Solanum lycopersicum: one gene and its partner. The protein of the gene in region 2 interacts with the protein of the main gene of each other region in a pairwise test. Links are inferred from orthologs where the notes say so. Each region holds a gene or a part of one and is shown on either strand. Other genes may lie near its edges.

The links.
Region 1: the proteins of molybdopterin synthase catalytic subunit (region 2) and molybdopterin synthase sulfur carrier subunit interact in a protein complementation assay, tested with the Arabidopsis thaliana proteins (2 studies listed by BioGRID). The link is inferred for Solanum lycopersicum from reciprocal best matches to the Arabidopsis thaliana genes AT2G43760 and CNX7.

What each region holds. Positions count from the first base shown.
Region 1 is NC_090801.1:68,009,149-68,013,691, forward strand, and holds molybdopterin synthase sulfur carrier subunit, read right to left. Parts: upstream 2,953-4,543; 5' UTR 2,793-2,952; intron 974-2,792; 5' UTR 958-973; coding exon 643-957; 3' UTR 523-642; downstream 1-522.
Region 2 is NC_090805.1:47,908,215-47,912,470, forward strand, and holds molybdopterin synthase catalytic subunit, read right to left. Parts: upstream 2,903-4,256; 5' UTR 2,765-2,902; intron 2,060-2,764; 5' UTR 2,051-2,059; coding exon 1,466-2,050; 3' UTR 1,417-1,465; exon of another isoform or gene 1,321-1,416; intron 1,260-1,320; exon of another isoform or gene 1,004-1,259; coding exon of another isoform or gene 859-1,003; exon of another isoform or gene 772-858; intron 771-771; coding exon of another isoform or gene 589-770; 3' UTR 494-588; coding exon of another isoform or gene 329-493; 3' UTR 237-328; downstream 1-236. Other genes in the region: G2/mitotic-specific cyclin S13-7, read left to right, coding at 1-235, 329-493, 589-770, 859-1,003. UniProt on the Arabidopsis thaliana protein: Catalytic subunit of the molybdopterin synthase complex, a complex that catalyzes the conversion of precursor Z into molybdopterin.

The DNA of each region.
Region 1 (4,543 bases), on a different chromosome or scaffold from region 2:
TACAAAATTGAAGCGGTGGCGGTGGATTTTTATGACTTTTAAGTCTCATCTTTCTTCTCTTTTTAGCTTAGTATTTCTTTTTCTCTTTTTTCACACACAATAATTATTTGATTTTACAGGAAATTTCTATTTCTCACTATTAACAACTTGCATATTGGAAATGGAGAATTACAAGTAGAGCCAATTAAATATAGTGTCATTAATGAAGTTGTTCTTACGATTTTAATTAAAAAAAAGTAGAGTCCAACTTGACTAGATTTACGAAAGTAGACTAAAATTTGTTTCTTTTCCTAGTCAAACTGAATCGCGAACCTCTACTTTTTGTATGGGAATAGATTTCTCATTTGTATGATATAGTTTTTATGATAATGGTCATCCTGGCAAGGAAAAATTTTGCAAATCCATCAAGGTTCCATTAGACAGAACATTTTAGGATCTTTCATGAATGCCATTTACTGGGCAGTGAGCTAAGTTCATTGTTACTACACACTCTCAGTATTCCATACATTGCAGATTCAATGATTTTAGCAAGAGAATTTTGTTCTTGTATTATTAGGGAATAAATAACACAGCTTAGTAATATGATCACACACATAAATACAAGTAAAATAGAGTTCCGATAATTGCAGTTCAGGAACTGAGTTAGCCTCCACTAATAGGAGGTATAATGGCCAATTCATCTCCATCTTTAACAGTGGTGGATTCGGCTGTGTATTCCTCATTCCGGGCAAGAAGCATGCACCCACGTATCTCTTCCAACCGTGGAAAGTGAGAAATGACCTTATTCAAGCAGTCACCGGCAGTACTACCATAAGAAACTTCCAATGGCATTTCAGTCATGCCAGTCAGATCTCTAGCACGGGCGAAAAACAGAAACTTTATTTGAAGAGATCTACTCTCATCTCCATTCTGCTGTAGAGCTTCCACATCTTTACTGTCAATTTTTTTATCAATCATGACAATTGCAAATAACCTGTCCAGTATATTCAACAGTAGGGGTAACGTCTATCAGTTATGCTCCGACAATGACTATTCGCCCTCTAGAATTAAAGAATAACTGAGTATTTAAAAGGATCTGTTACTTTTTCCTAAGAAAATACAACTAAATAATTAAACTTCTACAAGAAGTTGAAATCTAAAAGTAAGTTAAACACTGACTATAAGTAGACTAACTAAAGACACAAAAATAGAATTGAATTTAGAACTATGTTAACATGACCAAAAGTGACCAACATCTTATGTAATGGAAAACAATGCATTTGCAATTGACCAAAACCATTAACCCATGTCCACACACTTCACAGTGAAAGAAAATGATGTTCCTTCTTTTACAACATTAAGTTCAATGCAGAATTAACAGTCATTTTAAAATGAGTCAAGAGAACTAAAAAGAAAGGGTAAATTCAAGCCAAGTTCACTACATCCATGTATGTACTTACATTATGGTTAAGATAAACTTGTAAAGAGTATAGAAGAGTTGGATTTCCAAGTAACGGCAGAAAGTCACAAACTTATTTAAGAAAGAAATGAGAAAAATGACACAAACTAAAATAGTATAGAAGTATTGGATTTCCTAGTAACAGCAAAATAAAACTTAAGTAAGAAAGAAACTAGAAAAATTGGCACAGACTAAAAGAGTATCGAAGAGTTGTATTTCCTAGTAACAACAAAAAGTGACAAACTTACTTGAGAAACAAATGATAAAAGATGACACAGCATATTTTTTTGGAAGCTAAGATCAATTTATAGGATTCAGTCAAAACACAGCCCCACCCCGCCCCACCCCCCCAAAAAAGAAGGAGAAAGCATAGCAAACAGCTAACCACATCAGGAAGTAGATAGGATAAAGATACACCAATTTGTTGAAGGCATAACACCCGACTATGCTATGTTATAGATACAATCAGACTACGCTTCCAGATTTCACTCATATACTAATCCATTAACTTGTTGAATTCCAAATAAAGTTTCAAGCTTAATTTACACAAAATTTGGTTATGAACCATTTCAAAAGAAGACATGAGTATCTATTCAATTTAACTTTGATTTGGATTGAAAGAAAATATAAGTTCGATAACTGTCGTTAAGAACTAATCATCCTGGTAAGGCTCACTGGGTACGTTGTTGTTGTTGTCATCCTGATAAGGCTCATGTCTGCTGTCCTTGTTTATAGATCAATGGGATTCATGGCAGGCTACACCTCCCCTCAGCCCCCACAAACCTCCCAAATAGGGAAGTAAACACTAAATTAAGAGAGCACCGAAAAGATTCTCTTCTTAGTTCTTAATTTATTTTTTATTTTCTTTTAATCTGTTGCCTAAAACCGAGTATATGTGTGTTTATCAGCTAAGACATTTGCACAACTACCTACGAAATTTCTGTTCCAATCTGATGATCATCTTTTCGATTTCTTTCCTTTTTTTTCAATTTTTTTTTGGATGTTTTGTGTCAAACTGGTAAATAGATTCAAGTTAAATCCATAAACAATCTACGTGACTCCTCAATGAACATGTATTCTCCAAGTAACTGGAACATATAATTCTGTTTTAGGCATCTAAGTATAAGCAAAGTATATAATAACAAGAGAGTAGTTAATTAGCATCTTTCAGAATAAGGTCAAATTCTCTGAAACATGTGATTTTAGCAAATTGTCCAATTTTCTAAGAGCTGAATCAACTTATAGAGCAATTTTCATTGCCTCTTCGTATGATAATTTGAGAATTCACCCAAAACCAAAAAACTGTATTCACATAAGAACTGGTCAAAGAGGAATTACAGAAGGTCGAATATACCTGAACCCACAAGTAGAAGAGGGAGAAGCCTCGGATGCTTTCTCTCGAAGACTTAAGCAAAGAATTTGCCCTAATTTCCGATAGAAATTAAAGAAATCCGCAGAAGTGATGGAGTGGGCAAAATTGAAAAGAGGGCACAAAAACAATTAAATTAAAAAAAAAATGCTTAGGGACACTGGAGGCTGGAGCAATACCTTTTTTATTGGAGAAACTTTTAAAAGGTAAAGTGTCTAAGATGAAAATATATTTACTTATGTCTGAGATACAAACATATTTTATAGATTAATTATATATTAAAAGTGACTAATTGTATACTAAATTAGATTATAAAAGGATAAGATATTGTGTCTAAGATGAAAATATATTTACTTATGTCTGAGATACAAACATATTTTATAGATTAATTATATATTAAAAGTGACTAATTGTATACTAAATTAGATTATAAAAGGATAAGATATTTGTTGCGAATAAATTATAAATATAATATTTAATTTAAACTAATAGATCGTTATCTTATATAATTTTCCTTTTTTACTGTCTCAATCACTATTACTCTAATCTTTTTTATTCAATATTAAATAGTGAGTGTTAGAATTTTCTATTTAGTTCAACTAAAAAGAAAATTTAAGAAATTTAGTGAATTTAAAATTCTATGTATTAGAGAGATTATTTTTTAATCATTTATCCAACATAAAATTAACTTAAGTATAAAAAAGTTCATCAACCAAAACAGGACTAAAGTTTAACCACTTTTGGAGGCTATATAATTAAGAGAGAAAGATATTTAGCTTAAGGAGCTTTTAATAACATCAAAAAGTTTTAAAATTTGAGTAAAATATGAGTCTAATAGAAACATATTGTAATTCAAATATGTAAAAAAAGAAAAAGAAATAATATTTGGAAAAAATTTGGCAAATAATGTTTGTCCATACAATTTGCCATTATTTGGCAAATATTTTTGGCAAATATCCCAAAATTTCCAAATACTAGTTTTTTCTAGTATTTGGGCCAAATCTCATTATTTGGGATATTTTAAAAATTAAAATTTTACCCCAATCTTTTATCTTTTACAAAAACACCCTCTCTAGTAGTTGTTTGCGTTGTATTACATCATTTTTTACGCGAACATCAAAATAGTGATGAAATATGTAGTGAATATTAAATAATGATATGATTGTTGATGAAAATTATTAAAAATTGGCTTTAGGTAACAAAGTCATGTACTTTGTTTACTTCACGATGTATGAAATAATTCTTGTTGCACTCACTCCAAATTACCACATTGCTTTAGTGTCATGGACATTATTTGTTATTGTTGTAACGAACATTCATTGACTTGTATTACAAACTTTTAGTTAATTTTGATCGTTTTTAAAACTTGTGTGTATAAATCATATTTTTCTAAAAAGGTAAAATATATTTCCCAAATTTTATGGCCAAACACATGGTGAAATTTCACCCAAATTTTCACTCAAATAATATTTGCCAAGAATATTTGAAAATCTATGACCAAACGCTAGCTTAAATTGACTTATATGAGTTTACACTTTTGGTCTCATTTTAACCGTTGCCTTTAGTTATTTTAGCGTTTATTAAAAAAATAAGGGATAATGCACAATTACCCCTTAACGGATGCCTGAAATTTCAGAGACATATTTACACTATACTAACGTCTTATTATCCCTGAGCTTATTTTATCAATAATTTTCTATTCCGTTTCGACCTACGTGACACTATCTTGTGGATCC
Region 2 (4,256 bases):
ATGTGATTACATGGATTCACAGCCAGAGATCAATGACAGGGTGAGAGCAATTCTTGTGGACTGGCTGATAGAAGCACACAAAAGGTTTGAGCTGAGGCCTGAAAGCCTGTACCTCACAGTCAACATAATGGACCGTTTCCTGTCGGAAGAGCCTGTTCCTAGAAGGGAACTTCAGTTACTTTGCATCAGCTCAATGCTTATTGCCAGCAAATATGAAGAGATTTGGGCACCAGAGGTGTAAAAATGAAGTATTCTGCAAATGTGTTAAATCTGTTCAGTAAATTTTTTAATCATAATCTCTGATGATATGTTATGTTTGTCTCTGCAGCAGGTTAATGACTTCCTAACAATAACAGACAACGCTTATGTCAGGGATCAGATACTTCTAATGGAGAAAGTGATCTTGGGAAAGCTGGAGTGGTATTTAACTGTCCCAACGCCATACGTCTTTCTGGTTCGTTACATTAAAGCTGCAGTTCCATCTGATCAAGAGGTATTGTTTTATTCTCAATGTGAATTTGCAGCTACTTAAGCAGATAAAGACAGCTAGTTTAGCGGATTATACGCGCCCTCTTTGTTGTTTTATAGATGGAGAACATGACATTTTTCTTGGCTGAGCTCGGGCTGATGAACTACACTACTGTGATATCCTACTGTCCATCAAAGATTGCTGCTTCTGCTGTTTATGCTGCTCGTAGTACTCTCAACAGGAGCCCTCGATGGACTGACACTCTGAAGCACCACACTGGATACACAGAAGACCAGCTGAGGTAAAGAAAAAGTTAAAACAGTTGTCATTTAGGATTGGTAACTCTACTAATTATGAACTAATTGTGTTGCATGTATTGTTTGAAACAGAGAATGTGCAAAACAATTAGTTAGCTTCCACTTTGGTGCTGCTGAAAACAAGCTGAAGGCGGTTTATAGGAAGTTTTCTAGTCCAGATAGATGTGCTGTTGCCCTCTTGCCCCCTGCAAGAGATGTCCATATAGGAAGTTCTTGAACAAAGATTGTGAATGTGTGAAGTTAGATCATGTCAAACTTTCTGATCTCTTATTTTGAAGTCTGAAAAATTCATACTTTTATATGATTTACTTACTAGTAAAGTCATTCCCTTTTAACATTGTATGGTTCTTGTGAATATTTGAATGTTGAGTGATAGTTTTATCCATTAGTGTTAATGTACCACTTCTATTCTTTGGCTCACTCACTGTGTGCATAAATTCTCCTAGCCTTACGTTTCTCTAAGGCTCCCCCTTCTGTTAGAGGCATAAGCAATCAATCATGATGAGTTAAATGGGAGCACAATTAAATCGTATGTACACACTAACAAGAAACTGCCTTCAGCTATAAATCTGATGTGCTAGAGTATGTAATAATTGGTATTGCACACACAACAAAGAGGGATGAACTAACCATTTTGTTAGTTTTCGGGTTTGAATGAAATACAACATGTGCCTCAAAGCTACCTAGAAGAATCTGCAGACTCGTCATTGACTTTAACCTTCGTTCCACAGCAGCTCTTTCTCTCGTGTGCCTCCACTTTCTTTTTACCAGAGCAAGCTCCGTCTTGATCATGTGATGCATTCCCAAGCTCTGGCATCCTCTCAATAAACTCTTTATTCTCTTTCCACACCTCTCCATTTGTATATACCTCCTTCTTCCATATCGGAACTGATGCTTTAAGCTCATCAATCAGAAACTTGCAAGCATCCAATGCATCTGCTCGATGGACAGACGAGATTGCAACAAATACACTAGTCTCTCCAACAGGAACAGTACCCAAGCAGTGAGCAACTGCTATCGAGTGGATATCCCACGATGATCGCGCAGAAGAACAGAGAGATTTAAGACAACGTACTGCCATTGGAACATATGCTTCATACTGTAACTCTAAAACTTCTTTACCATCAAATGTATCACGCGTTGTACCAGCAAATGTTGCTATAGCTCCACATTTAGGAGAACTAACATAACCAATATATTTGTTGAAGTCTATTGGGCTATTCGCTTCCAAGATCTCGATTAAATTTCTATCCTCATCAGCCATTTGAATCACCTATAATTCCGAAAAAAAACACCTCAAAACAAAAACAACTAGGCTTCAATACCAAACAAAGTCAGGGGTCGGCAATATGAATTCTCATTATCCATATCGTGCTATTTAACCTCATCTCAACTCCAGAAAGTTTTACTTATCAGAAGTAGAAATAACTAACATTCACACACTTCCTTCTTCCCATTTTAAACGAAGTTATATCGCAGCAAAATCAAATAAGATTCATACGATCAAATTAAACGAGAAGGGATTAGACAGGACAGCACCAGCAGATTGAGTTTCATGTAAGTATAGACTATAATCATCCAACTATACCCTTTAAACAATCAACTTCAACTCATGATCTTGGATTATAATTATAATTCTCAAAGACCACTTACATAAACTCCTAAATCCAATAAATTGCAGTTCTCTCCTTCCATCCGTCTCAATTTATGTGATATTTTTTTGCTTATTGACTGTTAATTTGACTAGTCTTTGGTGAAATTCACATTGTTTAAATCTCGAGAAGCAAAAAAGGTGTCACGTAAATTGAAACAGAATAGTAATTATTAGTGATGTTGATTTCTTTAACAAAATCAATTAGTATCAAGTCAACTCATGACCAAATGACTTGAGATTATAAGCAAATACAAGGATTTTGAGATAATTTAAAATTATAATCATTATTAATCGAAATTAAAGATTGAATCTTTGAAAACATACCTACACAATGAAGCGGCTGGCTGGTGGCTGAACCGCAGCTTTGGAGATTTGATCTTTCTGATGATTGCAGAGTAGAAGTGAAGACAATTTTTGGAAGAGAAAATTGACAAAAATGGTCCCTTAATTGTTGTAGTAAGTTCAACATAGTTCCTTAAGTATCAATTCAGCAGTTTTTGATCTTTTTAAGTTTGTATAAGTTATTGATTATTGTTACACAAATAAAAAAGATATCATAAATAATTACAAGTTTATATTCAAATCGAAAGTAATTTCTGAAATATTCAGTCTCTCATGAATAATTACCGTCTATACCCTCATTTATTAAGGGTGATAATTTTTGTTTAAGTGATACTAAATCGATATCATATACTATATTGATATCATTAAGGTTGATAATTTCGCTTAACTAACACTCAATATATATAATTTATTGGTATCATTAAGGTTTCTTCTTCAGAAATTACTTATTAGTCAATGATATTATAAGAGTATATATGTATATTGTTGTGGTATCATTAAGGTTTCATTGTTCAAGAATTACTTATCAGTCGATAATATACTATAAGAATATATATGCTCTTATAATATCATTGACTAATAAGTAATATCTTAACAACAAATCTTAATGATATCAATACAATATATATATATATAGATTTAATATCAATTGAGCGAAATTATCAGCGTTAGTGATACCAATATAGTATATATGATACTGATTTTGTATCAGTTAAGCGAAATTAGTAAATGCTTATTTTATTTTTATGGGGTTTTATTTTTATGAAGTATTTGCTTATTTCCCCCTCATAGTTACATTAAAAATTAAATTGATTAAAAGAATTTATATTGGATTTCATTTGGTTGTGTTTAATTTTGAATTGATATCATATTTCGTTTGGATTTTTTTACTAAAAAAACTACAAAAATAACCAAATTAAGTCGATAAATTTTATATAAATTTTTTATATATTATTCATAAATAAAATATAAATATTTTGTTAAATCTTATTAACTTATGTCTTTACCTTTACTATTTTCTCAAATTCAACCCTTTTAAGTATTAAATTTTATGAACTATATATTAAAATCTTAAGTCCAAGTTTTCTCAATTTTTGAGTTGGGGGTTTTCTTTTTTGCTTTAAAGATTTGATGCTTGGTGTATAATGAAATTTACTATTGCTTAATTAAAATTAGTTTCTTTGTATAATAATAACTTAAGCATCACTTAATTGAATTCACAGTAACTTTTACATGAATTTTTCATATAAGTGGTGTCTATGTCTATCAAGAGTATTGCTTAATTAAAATTACTTTGTTTGTATAATAATAAATCTAGCACTTGCTTAATTGAATTCACAATAATTTTCATATAAATTATTAATGTACTATGTGTATATGTATATCAAGACGTGTATGCCTCCAAATTTATTACTTTTAAATCGAAAAGTGAAAAATAACTGAACCAAATCAATAGTCTTTTAAGTTTAATTTT